Linked DNA regions of Caenorhabditis elegans. The protein of the gene in region 2 purifies or fractionates together with the protein of the main gene of each other region. This does not show direct contact. Each region holds a gene or a part of one and is shown on either strand. Other genes may lie near its edges.

What was found.
Region 1: the proteins of col-90 (region 2) and C01G10.1 fractionate together in Caenorhabditis elegans (co-fractionation; one large-scale study listed by BioGRID). This does not show direct contact.

Annotation. Positions count from the first base shown.
Region 1 is NC_003283.11:15,096,360-15,107,879, reverse strand, and holds C01G10.1 (BRCT domain-containing protein), read right to left. Parts: upstream 8,134-11,520; 5' UTR 7,990-8,133; intron 7,945-7,989; 5' UTR 7,919-7,944; coding exon 7,858-7,918; intron 7,513-7,857; coding exon 5,880-7,512; intron 5,834-5,879; coding exon 5,713-5,833; intron 5,670-5,712; coding exon 5,255-5,669; intron 5,185-5,254; coding exon 4,814-5,184; intron 4,766-4,813; coding exon 4,651-4,765; intron 4,606-4,650; coding exon 4,381-4,605; intron 4,331-4,380; coding exon 4,230-4,330; intron 4,182-4,229; coding exon 3,866-4,181; intron 3,817-3,865; coding exon 3,677-3,816; intron 3,635-3,676; coding exon 3,491-3,634; 3' UTR 3,475-3,490; downstream 1-3,474. Other genes in the region: C01G10.14 (Major sperm protein), read left to right, coding at 1,974-2,072, 2,137-2,490; srx-78 (7TM GPCR serpentine receptor class x (Srx) domain-containing protein), read right to left, coding at 10,536-10,677, 11,026-11,100, 11,181-11,305, 11,351-11,499.
Region 2 is NC_003281.10:7,944,670-7,952,783, forward strand, and holds col-90 (Putative cuticle collagen 90), read left to right. Parts: upstream 1-4,168; 5' UTR 4,169-4,220; coding exon 4,221-5,022; intron 5,023-5,122; coding exon 5,123-5,238; 3' UTR 5,239-5,399; downstream 5,400-8,114. Other genes in the region: Condensin-2 complex subunit kle-2, read left to right, coding at 372-638; gsto-1 (Glutathione transferase omega-1), read right to left, coding at 926-1,185, 1,236-1,362, 1,901-2,120, 2,204-2,349; let-754 (Adenylate kinase), read right to left, coding at 5,588-5,608, 5,882-6,004, 6,078-6,326, 6,448-6,638, 6,759-6,930; C29E4.15 (DUF2189 domain-containing protein), read left to right, coding at 8,053-8,068. UniProt on the Caenorhabditis elegans protein: Nematode cuticles are composed largely of collagen-like proteins. The cuticle functions both as an exoskeleton and as a barrier to protect the worm from its environment.

The DNA.
Region 1 (11,520 bases), on a different chromosome or scaffold from region 2:
CTTTAATTGTAGCATGGAAGCGAGCATACAAATGGAAGAGCATCGAGAAGAATTATCCAGGTCGTTTGGCTGAAAATCGAGTTAATAAAATCAGAATATCAAAATGGCAGCAACTTACTTGGCATCAGTTTCGCTGAAAATATTTTGCCACCCATTTCAACCACTCATCTTACTTTCGCGCAATCTTCACCGGAAGCGGTTCTTCTCAAAATCAAGCAAAAATCATTCGTCCGGTACTGAACAGTTTTTCGCATGTTTGCGGTTTTTCGTCAGTAATTGACCAGATATTCGCGTGTTAGCGGCTGTTCGTTCGTTATTCACCAGTTGCTCGCATGACGCGGTTTACCTGTGGAACGCATTCGCCTCATGAGCAGAAGATTGTGCGTTCGGTTCCCACACATGGTTTAAATTTTGGCCTTTTTTTATACAAAATTTTTAGAACGGGAAACAAATGTTTAAAACAGTTTTTTGAGGTTTTTACATTACTTTTTTGCTTTTTGATTGAACCACAATTACCCTGGAAACTTTTCAGAAATTTTAATTTTTTCGAAAATTGCCACTTTTTTCTCCACCAAACCCATGAGAAAATTTGATCCAAAAATTTTTTTTTTAATTTTTTCAAAAATGTATGAAATATTGTAGAGTGTCACAAATAACTTATTTTTCATTGTTTTCAATGACCGAATCACTGATTCTGATGCCGTATCAAGACGTTTTACCAAATCGATATTGGCAAAACACCTTGTCTTTGAGACTCCATATCTCCGCAGGAAAAAATTGCGCTTAAAAGTGATCAACTGAAAACTTGTTAAACGCAATGTGATCTAAAACTTTTCAGTTGAACACTTTTTTGTAAAAAAATTGGTTGCTGATATATAGACCTTTAACTATTTAGAATATTCAAAAATAATGAAGCTCCAATCAATTGGTTCCAACTCGGCAACCAATTTTTTTACAAAAAAGTGTTCAACTGAAAAGTTTTAGATCACATTGCGTTTAACAAGTTTTCAGTTGATCACTTTTAAGCGCAATTTTTTCCTGCGGAGATATGGAGTCTCAAAGACAAGGTGTTTTGCCAATATCGATTTGGTAAAACGTCTTGATACGGCATCAGAATCAGTGATTCGGTCATTGAAAACAATGAAAAATAAGTTATTTGTGACACTCTACAATATTTCATACATTTTTGAAAAAATTTAAAAAAAATTTTTGGATCAAATTTTCTCATGGGTTTGGTGGAGAAAAAAGTGGCAATTTTCGAAAAAATTAAAATTTCTGAAAAGTTTCCAGGGTAATTGTGGTTCAATCAAAAAGCAAAAAAGTAATGTAAAAACCTCAGAAAACTGTTTTAAACATTTGTTTCCCGTTCTAAAAATTTTGTATAAAAAAAGGCCAAAATTTAAACCATGTGTGGGAACCGAACGCACAATCTTCTGCTCAAGAGGCGAATGCGTTCACCACTCGACCACCGAAGCGATGTTTTCCCCCGTCCACCATTGTGGTGAGATTTCTGTTGGCGCCAGAGACAAAATCCACTGTTAACCATAGGAAATGCACTGATTTCAGTACTACATTTTCAGATGAAAATTTCCAAACTCAAAGAGGTCTTCCGCCGAAACAAATTACAGATTCTGAAAGCCTAAGATGCCAGCTATCGGATGACACGTTTACTTTTACCCGATCGCACCGTATAGTTAAAATACTCCCTAGTCAGTTTACAGTGGTCCTCAATATTTTCGACAATTGTAATAAGGTTTTTCGGAATAGTGAAAGGATATACACGTAAAGCATTAATATAAAAAAGGGTTTGCCAATTAAAAAATGTGGGAAATTCAATATTCACAAAATAAAGAATACGTGAACAATGCATGCAACTCCACGTTGAACCATTTAACCTTTCAAATTAAAAAATAGATGAAGCAAAACAGCAAGTGAATCAGTTCTCAGTTTTCAAAAACTACAACTTCGGAGTAATGGAAAAAGAGAAAAGTAAGACGGAGAGTTTGAAGAAGGACGAAATCGATGAGGCAAACTCAGAATCTTCAAAAGTGCCACTAACAATTGATCCAGAGGTAAGATATTTTTGCATTGCTTCCAAAATAGTAGCAAGGTAAAAAAAACAGCAGCAAATTTCAGGAAGCCAAACTCCCAAATGCCGGCGGAAAATCGGAGCATATGGTGGTCAACTTCACTTCAAAACGCATGGCGATCAAAGTGAGATGTGGCAATGCACTATTTCGTGTTGAGCCAACTCACATGATCATCGAGCCGAACAAGTGCCGCCAACTGACAATCAATCGGATGCCCGGACCAATTCAAAAGGATAAAGCGATCGTTCAATACCTCCAAATTGAAAATGATGTGCAAGATCCGAAGGCTGCGTTCAAAGCAGCGGACAGTGCTGGAACTAAGATTCCACACTTGAAGATCAAGCTGGTGGCCGGAGCAAGTGGAGGTCGTCAGATGTCGAGAGAGGTGGTGGATGAGTAGTTTGGGAAAAAAACAGGATATAATAGATCTCATTTTGATATTATAATAAATTGTTTGGTATAGATTTTAGGCGGCTACTTTTGTAAGGAACGCCATTAGCTTAATTGTGCACTTCTATCAGACATCGCTCGAGTTTTTCATATTAACACCATATTGCACTTTTTCATTAAGCTAGTATTCTATTGATTCCAGCAAACAATTTCCAACTCGACTGACTTGTTCATTCGTTGGAACAATGTCTTCTCCACAGTAAACATGGCATTTTGTGTCTCATTTCAATACTGTATCATGACTTTCTGCAGCTACCAATTGTATCACGATATGGAAGAGAAACTAAGCCTCTTATCGGGAGAAGTTCGAAAATTGCATCTCCAAATATTCAAAACTCTGTTGCTTCAGGTAGCTTCTATTTTTTAAAATCTGAAATTTAGTATGCCTACTGGAATATTTTTGGGTATATTCGCGCTTTATCCAGCATTAGACGCATGTATTCTGATGTACGTCATCACAGACTACAGAAGAGCCTTAAAAGGTATACTAGAACTGAAAATCTTGTTAAATGTTTTTTTTTCAGATGTTCTGAAGTTTTTCAATCCGATAAACAGGACAGCTGCTGACAACGTCTCTGTAGCTCCTCATCTTTCTACAAATAATTTTACAATCTGACAAATAACTCATGGAACCTAAGTTCTGAATTTGTATTTGGCTGCTTCAATTTGTTTTCTATTTTCTTGATTGCTCTTAATAAATCTTGAATAAATTCTCGTTTTCAAATAGATAGCAAAATTCAAGCAGAAAAAATTCTGAAAATAATATTTATGCATGTACAGTTACGATCTTCTCGTGGAGAAACTGTGTTCATGTTTTAATTTCCATAATGAGTGGACCACATAGCTAGAAAAAACTGGGCCTAAAGATGTGCCTGCAACAACTGCAGTAATATCAATAAACAACTGCAGTAATATCAATAAACAACTGCAGTAATATCAATAAAGAATCTTTATTTCTCATCTTTCAGAACACTAATCGGAGTTTCACTAATATCTTTGACAATATCTCGTTTGAGCATAAACTTTATGAATTCTTCTTCAGTGAACAGTGTGTACATCTTGTCCGGATCAGATTTGTAGACGCTCAAGTTTATCTGAAAAAAATTGTTTCACAGTTAAACGGTCAAAATACAAACCTTTCCATCGTGAATCAAAAACAAAGGTCCAAGATTTGCATGGTTGTATGGGTGAGATCCAACATTGAAGAGCTCCTTTCTTGGAAAAACTTCCATCATGACACCACCGTGGATTGCGACAAGTGAATTCAATTTCAGCACTGAAAAATTATAAAATGACCTTCAAAGGATTGAATCGAAATTGCTCACAATTCTTGCATTCCACCATGACAACCGCTGAGTATACTCCATACAAATATGGAATGGCTCCTTTTGCCATGGCTTCACTCCATTGAAGAACTGTATTGTAATATGATCCCTTGTATTTAACTTTTTCCACCAAATATTTTGAATCCTGTTCGATAACTGTCTCATTTTCCAAACAATCCACCATCCACTGTTCTTTGACAATAATCGCACCATTGAATACCCAAAGTAGTAGATCGAGACTATCAGTTTCCAGAGCTCCGTTCTCATCTGTCTTCACAATGACATGTGTAGTGTTTGAATTAGCTTCATCAGATGTCTGAAATATGATTTAAATAAGAAGTTTTTGGTGCAAAGAATAACTCACAATAGCTTGAAACTTCTCCATAAATTGGTTGGTTATGTTGATGTCGGTTCTTTCGTCTATCCAAATATGAAATGATGTGGTTGGAAACTTCTGTGGAACATCTCAAAATTTTCAATTTTATTTAGCTTATCACAAGACATTTGATGCTTACTCATTTTGTGCTTCTTCCCATTTGCTTTTTTGTACAATGCTCGAATCTTGTCAAAATTTTCAACCTTGTCCTTTGGAATGTCTTTATATACGAGTGGGATCATCTGCTCCGGAGTTCGATTCATCGTATTCAGCAGTTCCCGATCAGCTCCATTTTTAATGAGAAGCTTTACAATTTCAGGTAGAGCGGACTTGGTTGCAGTGTGCAGAGCGGTATTTCCGAACTCTGAATATAGCTTTTTCGTCTAAATTAGATCTTCTTGAATCTTACTGTTAAATGCATTTATGTAGGATCCTGCCTTTACAGCATTCACCGCATTTGTTTTGTTAATTTCCCGTACTGCATCCAACAAGGTGTTCTTTCCATCCTGATTGTCAAGGAAAAGCTGGAAAATGTTGATTCAAAAAATGTAGATTTAACATGAGAAGCTTACAGAATATCTCCACCTGTTCTCATAATGAACTGGTTTTCCAACATAATATAAATACAAATTTGTATACTTTGACCTTCCATTTTGAGTAAACCCGTAGGCAACAATACAAATGAGACCAATCAATATCATCACACCAATGCAAATAATAATGATGTATATCCAAGAAAGTTGATTATCAACCGCAATTGTAACGATATCAAGCTTCTTGTTGCCAAATATCTCATCAAAATAGGTCATCAAGGAAGAAATTGTGATTTCAGCTCCTTTGAGTATAGCCTCGTGCCGTGCGAAATCTAGATCCAAGTTTTTTATAGACTCGAAATACTTTGCAGCTTCTTGCTTCTCCAGCTTGCTAGACTTCTTCAATAATCCTGAAAGTTCAATGTTTTTTACTCGGTAAGAATTCTAAAAACTATTTTTTTTTCCATTTTAACTACTTACTGAATAGTCTATATAAATCCTTAGGATCTCCACGGATACCATTGATTTTTGAGGCATCATCGAACACTTTGACCATCTCTGATAAATTCCCATTTTTCCTCAACATCTTTGATTTTGCATCAAGAGCATCAATCTTTTGGAGCATTACTTGGAGTTTTTGCTCCGGATCCAGCCATTCACGGAGTCCCATTCCCGAAATTGTCTTCAAAACTTGTACAGGGAAATCTGGGTAATTCGAAAGAAGCTGGTGATTTTGTCGTGCTTCTTCAAGATCTTCTAACACGTGCGCACATGTTCCGAGACTCGCAGTAAAAAGTTCAGGGGTCTTCAATTTCAGAACAAGATTGTGACTGGAATTCGACTGAGATGTGATCAACTTGATTTGTTTTTCCACTTTCCAAAGTTGGTTCTTAACCTGAAATTTATAAATAAAAGCAATGAAGTTATTATTTACTAACCTTGGCTAGCTCATCGAGGTACTGGTTCATTTTCAGCACCGTCTTATTTCCAGCAAACTGTCGAACAGTAATCATTGCTTCAATTACCTCCAATACTCGAAGCGGTTGCATGAACTCTTGACTGCAATTTTTAAATATTTTTTGGGCATAGACATAATAATATTAACCTCAAACATTTCGATATTCCCCTCAATTGTGACGTGTCCAACATTTCGACAAGCAGTTTGTCTATTTTAGTGTCGTTTGGTAAAGATTTATTTGTGATCACTTTAATATTTTTTAAGTTTTGTGAAAGATGTGTCATGAAGTTGTGAAAATCAACCTCCCTTTTATCTATCTGATCAATGATGATTTTGAGACGAGTCTTCACCCTCAACGAATTGGTTTTGTTCACTTTTTGTTTTTCGATTTCATTGCTTAGCTTCTTGTAGTATTCGTCAAAAAACGATTTTATGGTGCGGTTGGGGCGTATGGTTAAGATTGAGTTTATATTGATATACGAGACCTGTTTTCTGATTTGGGCCAAATATTTCATATAATTTGTAGCTGGTGATATAGCTTGTTGAAAGTCTTGAATCATTTCCTGAAGGGAAGAGTTGGGTGTCTCCAAAGAAGTAACAGAAAAATTCGAAAAGCACTCCGATAATTTGTTACTCGCGTTTTGAATAATTGACTCATAATTTGCAAAGTTAAGGGACATTTTCGAAATAACGTCAAGAATAGGTCCTGCTTTTGCAACTTCTGAGGACTCAAAATCCAAGGTGAGAGCAGTGAAATTGTGCCAAGAAGTATCGAGTGAAGTGACGGCTTCCGAAATGTCATGGAATATCTTTAGTGCATGGTTCAGGTCCTTTGTTTTCGATTCTTTAGCAATATTTCTTCTGAACCAAGGGCTACTCAAATCCTTGGAGATTTTAGAGAAATCTCTTGAGCTTCTGAAGCCCGCACTGTATTTTAGAACTGGTTTTGTTGGCGCAATGTGATGTTTAATGATTTCAAACAGAGAACGGTTGAGTTGAGTCATAACCTGGGCATGGTAATTAGGATGTACACTCTTCCATAAAGATTTTGTCGCTTTCAGACTTGAAAGAACCCGGAAAAGCGTTGCATTTGTAGCTCGCAATGAGTCGCTTAATGCATCAAATTTTGCAACCAACCGTATAATATCTTCCCATTTTCTAATCATTTCAAGTCCACCCCATATCGGTAAAGCATCAAGCTCAGCCTGCAACTGTGGGAAATAGTTTAGGCAGTCGGAAAAATTTGGTTTGTTAGCGACAAATGTATCAGCGAAGCCCGGGAAATCATTTGTGGCGTATTCCGACAATTCGTTGTTGATAGAGTCCCAAAAACTTTTGAAATTATCCGTATCCACTTGTGAGCAACTACTCCTGAACATCGAGTTGTTTGCAATTATTGTCGTTAGATTGTTCATTAGGTTCTTGATAGGGTACTTGATGGCATCCAAGAAGGTAGACGTTTGTTGAGAAAAGAGTGATAGAAACTTCAAATTGTTTTTCAAATCGGTCATGTTATCACCAACCAGACTATTCGTATCATTTTGAAGCAATAGAGACAACTTCTCGAATTCTTCACCCATTCTATTCAACTCCGTACGTGCCACTTTGATGTCGACATCTATGATGTTGTTGAACTGGTCTCTTGGCATCCGAATCAGCTCTACCAGTAGATCACGAACTTTGATATTCTTCCTGATAGCACCTGCTTGGAGGGAAATCGCATTGGTCACACGAGATAGGATACGGAAGTCTTCGCTGATGAGTTGGAGATTTGACGGGGCTGAAAAATGGTTTCCGTTGTGGAAGAGATACATGTAGGCGAGTAGGCAGGCATGTAGGTGTGGGTAAAGACTGTGGAAAATTCAAAACTAACAGCCACGTGTGTTAATGACACTTTTCACTCATTATTCTGAATTTTCACGTAAGTTCTTCTACTTTTAGTATTTTATATTTCGTTTTTTTGCTACATGGATTTCGTATTTACATGTTGGCTTTTTTTCAAATTAAAGCAATGCAAGAAGACACTCTTAAGATAAAAATCGACTCTTTCAAAAATGAACAAAGTATTAGTTTATAAACCCTTAATAATAGTTTACGCGCGAGCTATTTCCCTCTTCCAACTCACCACTTCCGGCTGTAACTAGAAATGCTCCTAGAATTCCGATGCCAAAATAATAAGTAATCATAAGTCCACAATTGCAATACTTTTTATCTGAAATACTGCCGTTACAGCCTGAAAGTATGAAAAACGACTTACCGAAAGATGCTTATTTTTAAAGACTGTAGACAATGAATAGATTTTGCGAGAAGATATGGTCTTCCGCCTGAGCAATGATTGATTTGAGCAGATTTGATTATCAGATAAAAATGTTGAAACAAACGAATTGGAGGTTCACGTAATAAAAATAAATCGAAATTTGTTTTATGTTGTTCATGCATTTTTCTTTTTGTTTTTCAATAAACTTTTTGAATATAATAGTTTTCCTTTTTTGAAGGTTTTGGTTTTCATTGGTTTTTAATTATTAAAAATTAACGAAAATACAGAGTAAGGGAAATGTTGAAATCAATTACATGAATAGATTAATTGCTGGTTTTATGATCTTGTAGATGGTGGTGGTAGATTAGAAATAGCTCTTCTGTCATCACACTTCACAGCAATAGACTCCAATGGGCTCACTTTCCGGAGAACTTTATTTTTCATTGGGGACAGTCGATTGTTGAACATCATCATAATGAATCTAAATTCATATTCATTACTAACTCGAATTTCAGCTACATGTGAAAATTTTTTGGAACCTGTAGCGGCTCAGATTCTGTAGAACAATTTTTGAAAAATACCTAACAGACCCATAAAATGCCAGCCGCGTCAACATTTTCCATATGTTGATTTAAAAAAATACAGTGAATGTGTACGAAAATTTGAAAACCCACGGCTCGCAGGTAATGTAAACGCTTGAAAGCTTGACTTTTTGCTTGACGCCTTAAAAATGTTTCAAAAAAAAAAGTTTTACATATATAATAGTTCGGAAAAACTACTTTAAAAAATGTTCTTGAAAGCTTGAAAAGCTTGAAAATCTGATCTTGTGCCCGATTTACACTGCTGATCGTAATACATTGTGCCCGATCTACGAATTAACTGTGTCTGAATCCACTCACCCATCAAGAACATGAACGAATTGCAACACAAATGTTTGGCAGAAGAATGTCCAGATTCTATGATCAAAAAGGTTACTGGAATTGAAGTTATATTTTGAGTTGAAGCTGAAATTGTTCCAGTGACTTACTCGAGCTGAGAAAACAAGACCGTGATTGAAAACAACGAGTCTTGAAGAAAACAAACGAGTCTGAAGAAACTGTAACACATTTTTCCGTGCTTTTCTCCGGTGTTGAGATCCGCGGATTGTCTTTTTCTTCTGAAACATAGAGCCAAATTTGTTTTATAGTTCTAAGAAAATATTCTAAAAACATTCCCTACCATATAATGAAACAGAATGTATGTGACTGCGTTTATTGAAAGTGGGAAAACAATTAAAGCAACAGCCCATAATTGCATATGCTCAGGTGTAGACAAAAGCCCGATATACGCCAAATGCTCATTGGAAAAAAGCATAAAATTTGAATTTTCTGAAATTACAAAAAAATGGTTTTAAACGTAACCATGAAATCAGTACCACTTCTACTCAAGTGTTCCGTAGCCACATTCCAGATGCGGTTTATATAATAAAGAATATGCAATACCAATGTCAGTTTCAAACCCCATAGCCAACTAAATTTTAAAGGAAATAGCATAACGAAAAATCGATTGAAGGATAAGTAGACACTTTGAAATTCGTTGAAAACTAGCATATTCGTACCAAACGTCACAAGAATGCTTTCAACAGCTGGAGAGTAAAATGAGTACCCACTGAAAACAGAAGAAGAAAAAATTAAAACATGAGCAATAAAATCCAATATGATGCCTAATAAGAATGTCTTCCCAATAAAATATCTTCCTGAGAAATTTCGTTTTAATTTAAGAATTCATTTCTGAAAGTTAGAAAAGATGCTTATGATATATGTACCTCTGAAGTTAATTTTGAAAGCCTTCATTTTTATGTTTTTTTTTCCAAATTTTAAATAAAACGTCAAAAAACGTTTGCCTCTTTTTCGAATCATACTCTAAACCCCTAAAAAAACTTACATTAAGCTCTCTGGAACGTACACTCCGAGCATAACCACCAATAAAACATATACGTTATTCGATGCTCGGAAAGCACAAATCATATTGAACACAGTTCGCTCTTTCTTGCAAGTCACAAAATTTTGAATAATGGAAATGTTCAACGGTAGTCCAATTAACGAGTTCTTGAATTTTCATTCATTTTCAATAGAAATTATTTCAAACTTTTACCAGCAACATAAGTACCACAGCCAGGAAATTCGGCCAACTTTTGAAATTGTAGTTGGAGACATCGTTGGTAACTGTCGAGTTCATTGTACGTGTTTCAATAGCAAAAAAACACTAAATTAAGGATCTCGAGATCGAAAAGTCTAATTTTTTTTTAAATAATTGTGTTGACTTGTTTTCGAAAAAAAAGTGATGGTTTACGCATCACCTGATTTCAACTAATCAGTTTCCTAGGATACGATTCCCGATGGGATAGTCAGGAATATAATCTGTCTGAAAACTTTTTTAAAAGCTCATGAATCATATGGTGAGACTTATAATGTTTAATTAATGGAGTATACATTTAAGATGAATACCACTCTTCAAATTATCAAAAATTTTTAGATGGATATTTAAAACATTTCAAAATGTAAAAATTATGATATTGGAGTAGGCGGTGACCAGGTACGAGTTGGCAAAACCTTTCGAGTATCAAATTTTGTAATTGTCTCGATTATATTAATTTTCAGTCTTCTTTTCATTGGGGACAAGCGAGCATTGAACATCATCATGATGAATCTGAAAGCTCGCCGTTTTTTTTAAACAATTATTTGAAACTCTTGTTAGATAGCGAAAATCAGTTTTTTTTCGTCAAATACCGAATTTTCTCCATTAATTTCGCATTCAAGATATAAATGAAAAATTTTAGTTTTTTGATTTTCCAATTTTTCAGTTTTTTAGGTTTTGAATGTTCTGTTTCACTGAAAAGCCAGAAATCAAAAAAAAATGTTGAATATGATCGTAACATAATTTTCAAATCCCATATCAAAAAAAATATGTTTGGGATTTTTTTACATACTTTTTGGAAATCGAAAATATTTGTATTTCTGATTTTCAATTTTCCAGCTTTCCAAAAATATGACCTACCCATCAAGAACATGAATAAATTGCCACACAAATGTAAAGCAGAAGAACGTCCAGAATCGGTGTGCAATAATTGTACTGAATATGAAATTTGAACTGAATATATTCAGAGGCATAGTTTTTCACAAACATAAAATTCCCAAAAATTGAAAACTCACTTCAACTTCAAGCCAAAAGTACTACTTATGAAAAACAATGAGTCTTGAAAAACAGTTTGAAAAAACTGTGCTACATTTTCCCTTGCTTTTCTCCGGTGTTGAGACTCCCGACTTGTCCGCTTTTTCTGAAGCACTAAATAATTTTTAATTCATATTTTACAACTTCCCACCAAATAATAAAAACGAATATATGTTACTGCATTGATAAAAAGTGGAAAGATGATTGACAACACAGACCACTCAAAAAAATAGTCAGGTGCTGCCAACGTGCCACCGTAAGCCAAGTGTTCGGCAGAAAATGATATATGGTTTGAGTTTTCTGAAATCAGATTTTGAAAGT
Region 2 (8,114 bases):
GGCAAATTGCCAAAATTTTGAAAAATATGAGCTTTTGAGGTTATTTAAAGAAATGTCGTATGTTTCGACCCCTACAATGTTTTAATACAATTAATTTAAACAAAATTAAAACAATAAAAAATGTAATAAATTTTTTTGGTCGACTTCCAAACATATGAGTGGCAAAAACTGAGTAATTGCCAGTTTTTGACAGTAAATAAAAAAATTTTCAAAAGTTTTATCATGATATTTGGTCATTTTGGAACCAAAGGAGTGGTTTTTAACAATTTCCCCACTGGCGCTACTCCACCTTTAATATTCTGGTCAACCACAGTAATTTGAAAAGTCAAAATGTCTAAATGTTTGAATTTCTCAATTATAATAATTTTCAGGTTCACGCAGTTGGTCGTGCTGTCATTGGCCAATACGATATTGAAGGTGGCACGAAACGTTTACTAGATTTGGTTATGGATCGTCCATGGTACGAAATCAGTCGATACTTCCTTTCGTGCCTCTTTATGTGTAATGTCGGAAATGTCATGGTCAGCGAGGACATGGAACTGCCACTCGAGGAAAGAATCAACTCGATGAAAATCACACTACTCAAAAGAGATATGCATTGTGAAATGTTCAAGGAGGCTGGCGCTCTTGATGCCTAATTTATAATTATTGTTTTTTTTGCATTAAATCTCCCGAAAACCATCTTAATTTATTTAAACATTCCTCATTGTCTCTACTTGTATCTCGATTTCTGGCTATACTTTCATTTTACTGTATCAATTAATTAACTTCTAGATGCCAAGTATTTTTCTTCTGTTCGTTATGGTACTTTACTGACTGTACAATAACTTTTTTTCCGACGAATTACCACTATTTCTTTGATTGTTTTTTAATTACGTCCTTCATTTTTTATTCAATCTTAAAAATAAATCGACTGGTTTTAATATCAAAGGCCCAAATCATAATTCAATTCCTGGTGCGTGGCATATGCGTTCATGAATGCAGCGCCATGTTCCAAAGATTGGGTGACGGATTGAACAACATCTGAAGAAATCATTTTCTGGAACCATTTTGTCAATTTAGGATATTCTTCTTCTCCTGGGAATTCAATTGTTGGTAAATCGACAACTCCATCCAAACTAGCTGACCACCAAATTTTCTCAAAAAATGGAAATGATAAGTAGTCTGGATAACCTGGTTGAGATCCTGAATAGTTTGAATTTGGTCAAAAAATTGTATCGATTAATTGAACTCACCAGCATAAAAATCATTGGCCAAGAGATTTTCAGCTTGTTTCAAAACTTCAAAAACTTTTCGCTGCTTTTCATCTTTCAAAGTTCGGTCTCGCATGACGGCGAAGAGCAATGGAACTGCATGGGCTACCTGAATTGCTTATTTAAAACAAAATAGTTTAGAAAATAGAAAAATTCAAGATCATATTTGAATTTCCTCCAAAATGAATAGCCACGCCCACTCTCAAACCAATCAGAGTTTTGGACTCCAAACACTCATCTGATTGGTTGAAAAATGGGCGGAGCGAATAACTGATTTTTTATATTAGAGGAAGTTCAAAAAGGGGATTAGAAACTATGTATGTTTCCTTCCATTTTTAAAGGTATTGGTATCGCTGCGCCTTCAAAACAACTGTAGAGACGTGCAGATCTTTTTTTTTATTTTAAAAGTTTTAGTTAAAGTTCTGGTAAATTGGCAAATTTCGAATAATGTGCTTTTAGTAATTTCGAGCATTTCGGAAAGTGAAATTTAGAACTCGTATAAAACAATCATTTTTTGGACGACTTCCAAAATTAGGATAGAAGGAAACTAATGGTAAATAATTGCCATTGCATTAGTCTTAAACCATGTTTATTGTTTTTATATATAACACTTTTTATTTCTTTTGAAAAACAAAATAAAACCAAACCGCAGTTAACCTGTCCGCTAGCAGCTTTTGTTGCACCTTTTCGTACGGGTCAGTTGGAAGAATACGAGTTTCTGGAAATGCATCATCCAAATATTCAGGAATAAATCCAGACTCAATGACCACTTTTCCATTGTGCTCTACTGCTGGAGCCTTTCCCTGATAATGTTTTGTCCAGTACCATTCAAGTTTGTCAGTTACGTTGAGATTGACTACCTCCGCTCTGAAAATTCAATGGTTTTTTTCTTAAAAAAGTACTTTTCATATGTCTATTTTAGAAACTAATAAAATAAATAAACTACTCACTCAATTCCTTTAGCTGCAACATAAAGCATTGCTCTTTCAGCCCATGGACAGAATCTCATGTTGTAGACACGAAAAGATCCCTTTGATAGCGGAGGTTCCGCATCTCCTTTTCGAATTGCTTTTGATGTTACTCCGGTTAAAACCATCTATAAACATCTACATTTTGAATTTTTCTACAGAAAAATACATTTGGACAGTACAGAACAAATTTCAAGCCAAAAATATATTTTCTACTAGGAAGGGTAATTTGTGTAGAAGGTAGACATTAGAATGGTTATAAATGTATAATTTTAATACTCCAATATTTGAATTCAAACAGCAGTGATCGTGCGGAATAAAAATTGAATAACTAACTGGAAAATGTTGAAAAGCTGAAAAATTGATAAGAAAGAAAATATAGAAAACTGATAAGAATTACAAGAAGTGAAAAATGATCTGATGCAACAAGTAAACACATCAAATTAGGAGTGGAACCGCTATAAAAAAAGTTATAAGAGATCTGGAAATTAGATCATTTATGTCACTTTCAGTCTTTTAAATAGCGGAGCAGCGCCAGTTTTGTATTAGAAAACACTTATAATGGTCCGAAAATGACCTAAATAAATGACCAAATATTGATTTCCAACGTTTTCAGACAACTTTTTAGCAAAGTGCCAAAAAAACATGTGTTCGGTTTCCAAACTTATGTAGTTATCGCAGACTATAATATCACCTTCCAAACAAATGAACATTCCTCAAAACTTGATTTTAGCCCTTTTATCCTACCGAACAATGTGATATATCTGTTATCGAAAGATGAATAAATGAGATATTAAAATTAATCAAAATGTTCGAGTAGAGCTTTTTTAAATCCCAATGCAATATCAATATAAGTTGTGTACTTTAGAAAAAATCAGAATTTTTCGATCTTCGATGCTTTTCCCATTCCAACGTTCAGAGTGTCTTGACGTGACGACCAAGAAGAAGAGAAAGAAAAAAACTCGTTTTTCGCACTTTCTCCTCACTTTTTCAATGTTCAAAAAAGGATAAGGCTACGTAGACAAACTATGAATGGTTTGTGAAAATTATGGAATTTAAGTTAACTTTGGTAGAAGCTCGGTTTGATGGAAAACAAGTTTATATTGGGCTCACTGTTTTTTTAAACAGAAAATGGTTATTTGAAAAAGAATTTTCAAAAGATTATTATTTAACTCATACAAAAAACATTACAAGTAATTAAAGATAATTTCAAAATAAGTTATAATATACAAAACTCACATACAAACAACTGAGTAGGAGAGTCTACATATGAATTTCATATAATTTCATTACTCTGTTCAAATGCATCCTAACTTCATTCAAGTTCCTGAAACATTTTTTAACTGCAAAAGTATCCCATGCTTGCAGGTTTTTTTGGCTCTGGAAACATGCTGAATATTGCTGTTTTAATCGATTTTCAGAAAAAACACGCAAGTTTTAATATTTTGGAATTTTTAAGCTTATGAATTCTCCAGTTTCCACTTACAGGAAGATCAACAAACATCATTTCTCTTTTAAACTTTTTCACTTACATCGAAAATATAAGTTTAACTTCCAGGAAGATAATTCTTGTATTTATGATATTTGTGTATTTCCATGGGGTACTGTAATTGTATAGCACTAAATATTAAATTTCAATTTTTTTAATCTAGAACAAGTTCGTTTCGAAATAAAATCATTTTTCCTGAAATATGAAAATACATTCTAATTCAGAATAATCAGAATAAATCAAATAAATAATTATTCCATATTCCACCACTAATCATCAGTCATATCCATTAATCAACTTCCTTCATCATCATTCCATCCAACTGACGAACAACACAACAATTCGAATTTTTTTTCGGTTTTTTCTTCGATCGGATCAAGTTTTTCGGCGAGTTTTTGCCGCCGCCAAAGGGCGTTTACGAGAGAATGAGTATAAAAAGGATATGTGAGGGTAATTGCATTTATCTGAATTTGAATTCCATTTGGAATCAGCGAATTCTGATTCAAAATCATGTCGACTATTGGTTATATTGGTGCTTCAATTTGTCTTCTTGGAGTTCTTTCATCTCTTTTCTCAATTAGTCATATTGTTAGAGATATTAATTCTCTGCGTGATGAAGTTGAAGGACGTGTTGATGAATTCAAAGTATTAGCTGATGACACGTGGCAACGTCTTCTTGTTCTTCAATCCCCAACTGGAGAAACTGAAAATGTGATGCCATCGATCTTCCGTTCAAAGAGATTCGTCTATCCAGGAATGTGCAATTGTGACAGTAACTCTCAAGGATGCCCAGCTGGACCACCAGGACCACCAGGACTTCCAGGAAAGCGTGGAGATGAAGGAGTTGTTGGAGATCTTGGACGTTCTGGAGCATCTGGAATCTCACTTGCAGCTGTTCATCACATTCCAGGAGGATGCATCAACTGCCCAGCCGGACCAGCTGGACCACCAGGACAACAAGGACCAGTTGGACCACAAGGATTCCCAGGAGTTGTTGGAACATGTGGACCATCGGGAGATGATGGACAACCAGGACCAGCTGGACCACTTGGAGATAAGGGAGCCCAAGGACCAAAAGGATTCGATGGAGCCGATGGACCAGATGGCATGCCAGGAACTGCATACTTCCCAGGAGCTGTTGGACAACCAGGAGAGCCAGGATGGTTGGGACAACCAGGACTTCCAGGAAAACACGGAGAACCAGGACAAGATGGAGAAGAAGGACCAAAGGGAGCACCAGGAACACCAGGATCAAATGGAAGAGATGCTTATCCAGGACAACCAGGAAAGGCTGGAGAGCCAGGAGCTGTTGGTTAGTTATTTTTTATAATCTGAAGAAAATTAATTATTTCAAAAGCTCAATTCTATTTCTAGAAACCAATAAGATCTACTGAAATTTTATATTTTTTCAGGAAAAGACGCCAACTATTGCCCATGCCCGGCTCGTCGCGACTCAAAGACCGAAAGTGTTCACGAGCCACCAGCAGCTTCCCAAAATGGAGGTTACAGAAAGGCCAAGAGACACTAAACGAAGCCACAGTAAATTATTATCTTTTTTATTATCCTGTTTTTCATTCAAAACTTTTAAGAAAATTAAATTCGAAAGAAATTCATTTAAAAAACTTTTTGGTATAGGAATGACGTGGGATTTAGCTAACATTGAACAATTGAAATAAAACACTGGGAAGGAAAATAGGCAATTACGATGAGGAAAACACAGGAAACGGTGGGAAAACACGTCTAAAAGAACTACTGAAAAGTGAAATTTAGAAAAAAAAACAATGAAATGTGACAGTAACTGAGAAAATGTTTAAATACTAAGAGAAAATTGTGACTATTTCATTGGATTCCTATCATTGGGAGCATTTAATGAGCCATTAGACGAATGAGACGCGTTCCTGAAAATTTTCTGGTGTTTTTAAAACTTTTGGAATAATGAATCACATACTCGGCATTTAGTGCCCCTTTTCTCCCACCTTTTTGCCGGAAGGAAACAAATGGCGATAGCTAGGAGGCAAAAAGGTGGGAGGAAGGTGGCAAAAGGATGGACGGAAAGTGGGAAGCCCAAAAAAACAGCGGATCTAAATTCCGAGTAGTGTAAAGAAACGCCTATGATCATATTCCAATTTTCTTCATTTCTAAGATCTTCAATAAATAGTTCAATTCTGTACCTTCTTCTGGGTAAATTTGGCGAAGACTTGATCAATATGAGCCTTCACGTCAGTCATTGGCTTTGCGGCATCAACGGCCACATGAACTCCGTGTTTTTTGTAATAGTCGACGAGAGGAACGGTCTGAAAAGTATTGGTTATATTCGTTCTCTTGGATCAATTTGAAAATACAATTCAAAATGCAACAACTACATACCATTTGGTGATATTGTACAAGTCTCTTTCTAAGAGTCTCCTCGTTATCATCAGAACGGCGAATCAGTGGCTCTCCAGTGAGATCGTCCTTCATTGGAACCTTTGGTGGCTTGAATTCCAAATGGTAGCTTCTTCCGGAAGCAATATGGAACAGACGACCAGTGATACGGCGAACAAGCAAATCATCGGCAATGTTGAACTCGACGACAGTATCCAAAGGTGTCTTCCGACGTTCGAGGATCTCATCAAGCTGAAATAATGCATTTTAGATTTTATAGGCAAATATTTTCAAGAGAACTCATCTAACTTTCATAGAAAATATTAATAAGAATGAGACACGTTGTCTTCTTTAATAAATTAATTTTACCCACCTTCTCCGCTTGTCCACTGGTGCGAGGGAAACCATCCAAAATGAATCCGTACTTGCATTCCGGTTTCTCCAGCTTTTGCTCGATAAGTTTGCAGACCACCTCGTCACTGACTAACTTTCCAGCATCCATTGTTGCTTTCAGCTCCTTTCCAAACTCGGAGCCAGAGGCAACTTCAGCACGGAGCAGATCTCCTAAAATTTTGAAAAATTCATCAAATATCTATTTTGTAAGAAAAAACTCATTAGTCTGGAGTTATTTCTACGAAAAACATTTTTTTTCCGAATAAAAAATTCCTTGACTTGAAAACCTACCAGTTGCCAAATGACACGAGAAATATTTCTGAGCGAAAGCGGGAGCTTGAGTTCCTTTGCCGGATCCTGGTGGCCCAATGAAGATGGCACGAATTCCACGAGCCAAAGTTTCCGTAGGCCCCGCTGATTGAGTAGCTGGCTGAGCACTTTGTTGTGTTTTCGGGACTCCCATAGCTGAAATTATCAAATTAAATTATTTGGAAAAAAACTATTAGAGCCGTGATTGCTTGAAGAGCTTGTAAAAAGCAAAAATCGATAATATGCGAACAATGCAATACCAGTTTAGAATTAATTTTAATTTCAATTTCAAACCATTTTTCAACTAAACAATAATTGATTTTGCTGAAAACTCAGATTTTTTTTAAAATTAATGATAATCGTAGATGTTGTTAATATTGAAATAAAAACCATCAAACTAACGAACTCTTTGGTGTATTCAAAGAACAATCGGTCTTGCGAGTGAACGAGACGGCAATTTCGAGCGAAATGAGTGAAAACTTCGATAGAAATTGATAAACGAGAGAGGTTAACACGCAAGGAAAAAATCAAAAGGAAATGTGATTATTTTTCAAGAAAAAATGGGGCGACGTTAACGTAAAATTGTAGTTATGGAAAATTAAGTCGAGCGGCAGTAATTCAAGTTATTCAAAACCGGGCTTAACATTGTAAATCCGGAAGAAAAAAAAGGACTTTCTAGCGTCTGAAATAGATTATCAACTACATTTATCGTAAAAACGGCTTTCTTATCACTTATTGATGAAAAATAACTGGAGAAATGCAAGGAAAATTAATTTAAAATGGATAAAACTCAAAAGCCTTGGGGCGCAGGTCCCGCCACGATCGTGTTGGCAAAGCTGTGAACTCCTCTCGGAAAATCCATAAAACTAGCGCGAATTCAAAAAAAGACGCTCACGAGGTTGTGAACTCAAATGTTACAAATGTAATTTAAGATTTAGAACGAAACAGGCTTAAATAAGAAGAATTCAATGAAAATTACATGCTTAATTTGTTTAATAAAAATTCAAGCTTTTAAGCATGATACGATACCCCAATTTGCGATTTTAGAGCTTATCCTAAATGCAGAACATTTCAGTATTTTTTTAGGATTATCTCGATAAAAATTTTCTATACCGCCCAAAACGGAGAAAAACTACGCGCGCAAATGAGAGAAAGAGAGAAGAACGGGGTCAAGGAGACATGAGAAAAGACGGTGCGCGTAGAAATTGGTCAGAATTGTGAATTCGTAGTAGGAAAGAGGTTCCATCATTGATTTTTGATTTTCTAGTGACTGGAAATGGCTGGAATACGAGGTTCGTTTCTTTAATTAGAGTAAATCGAATATAATAATATTTTCTA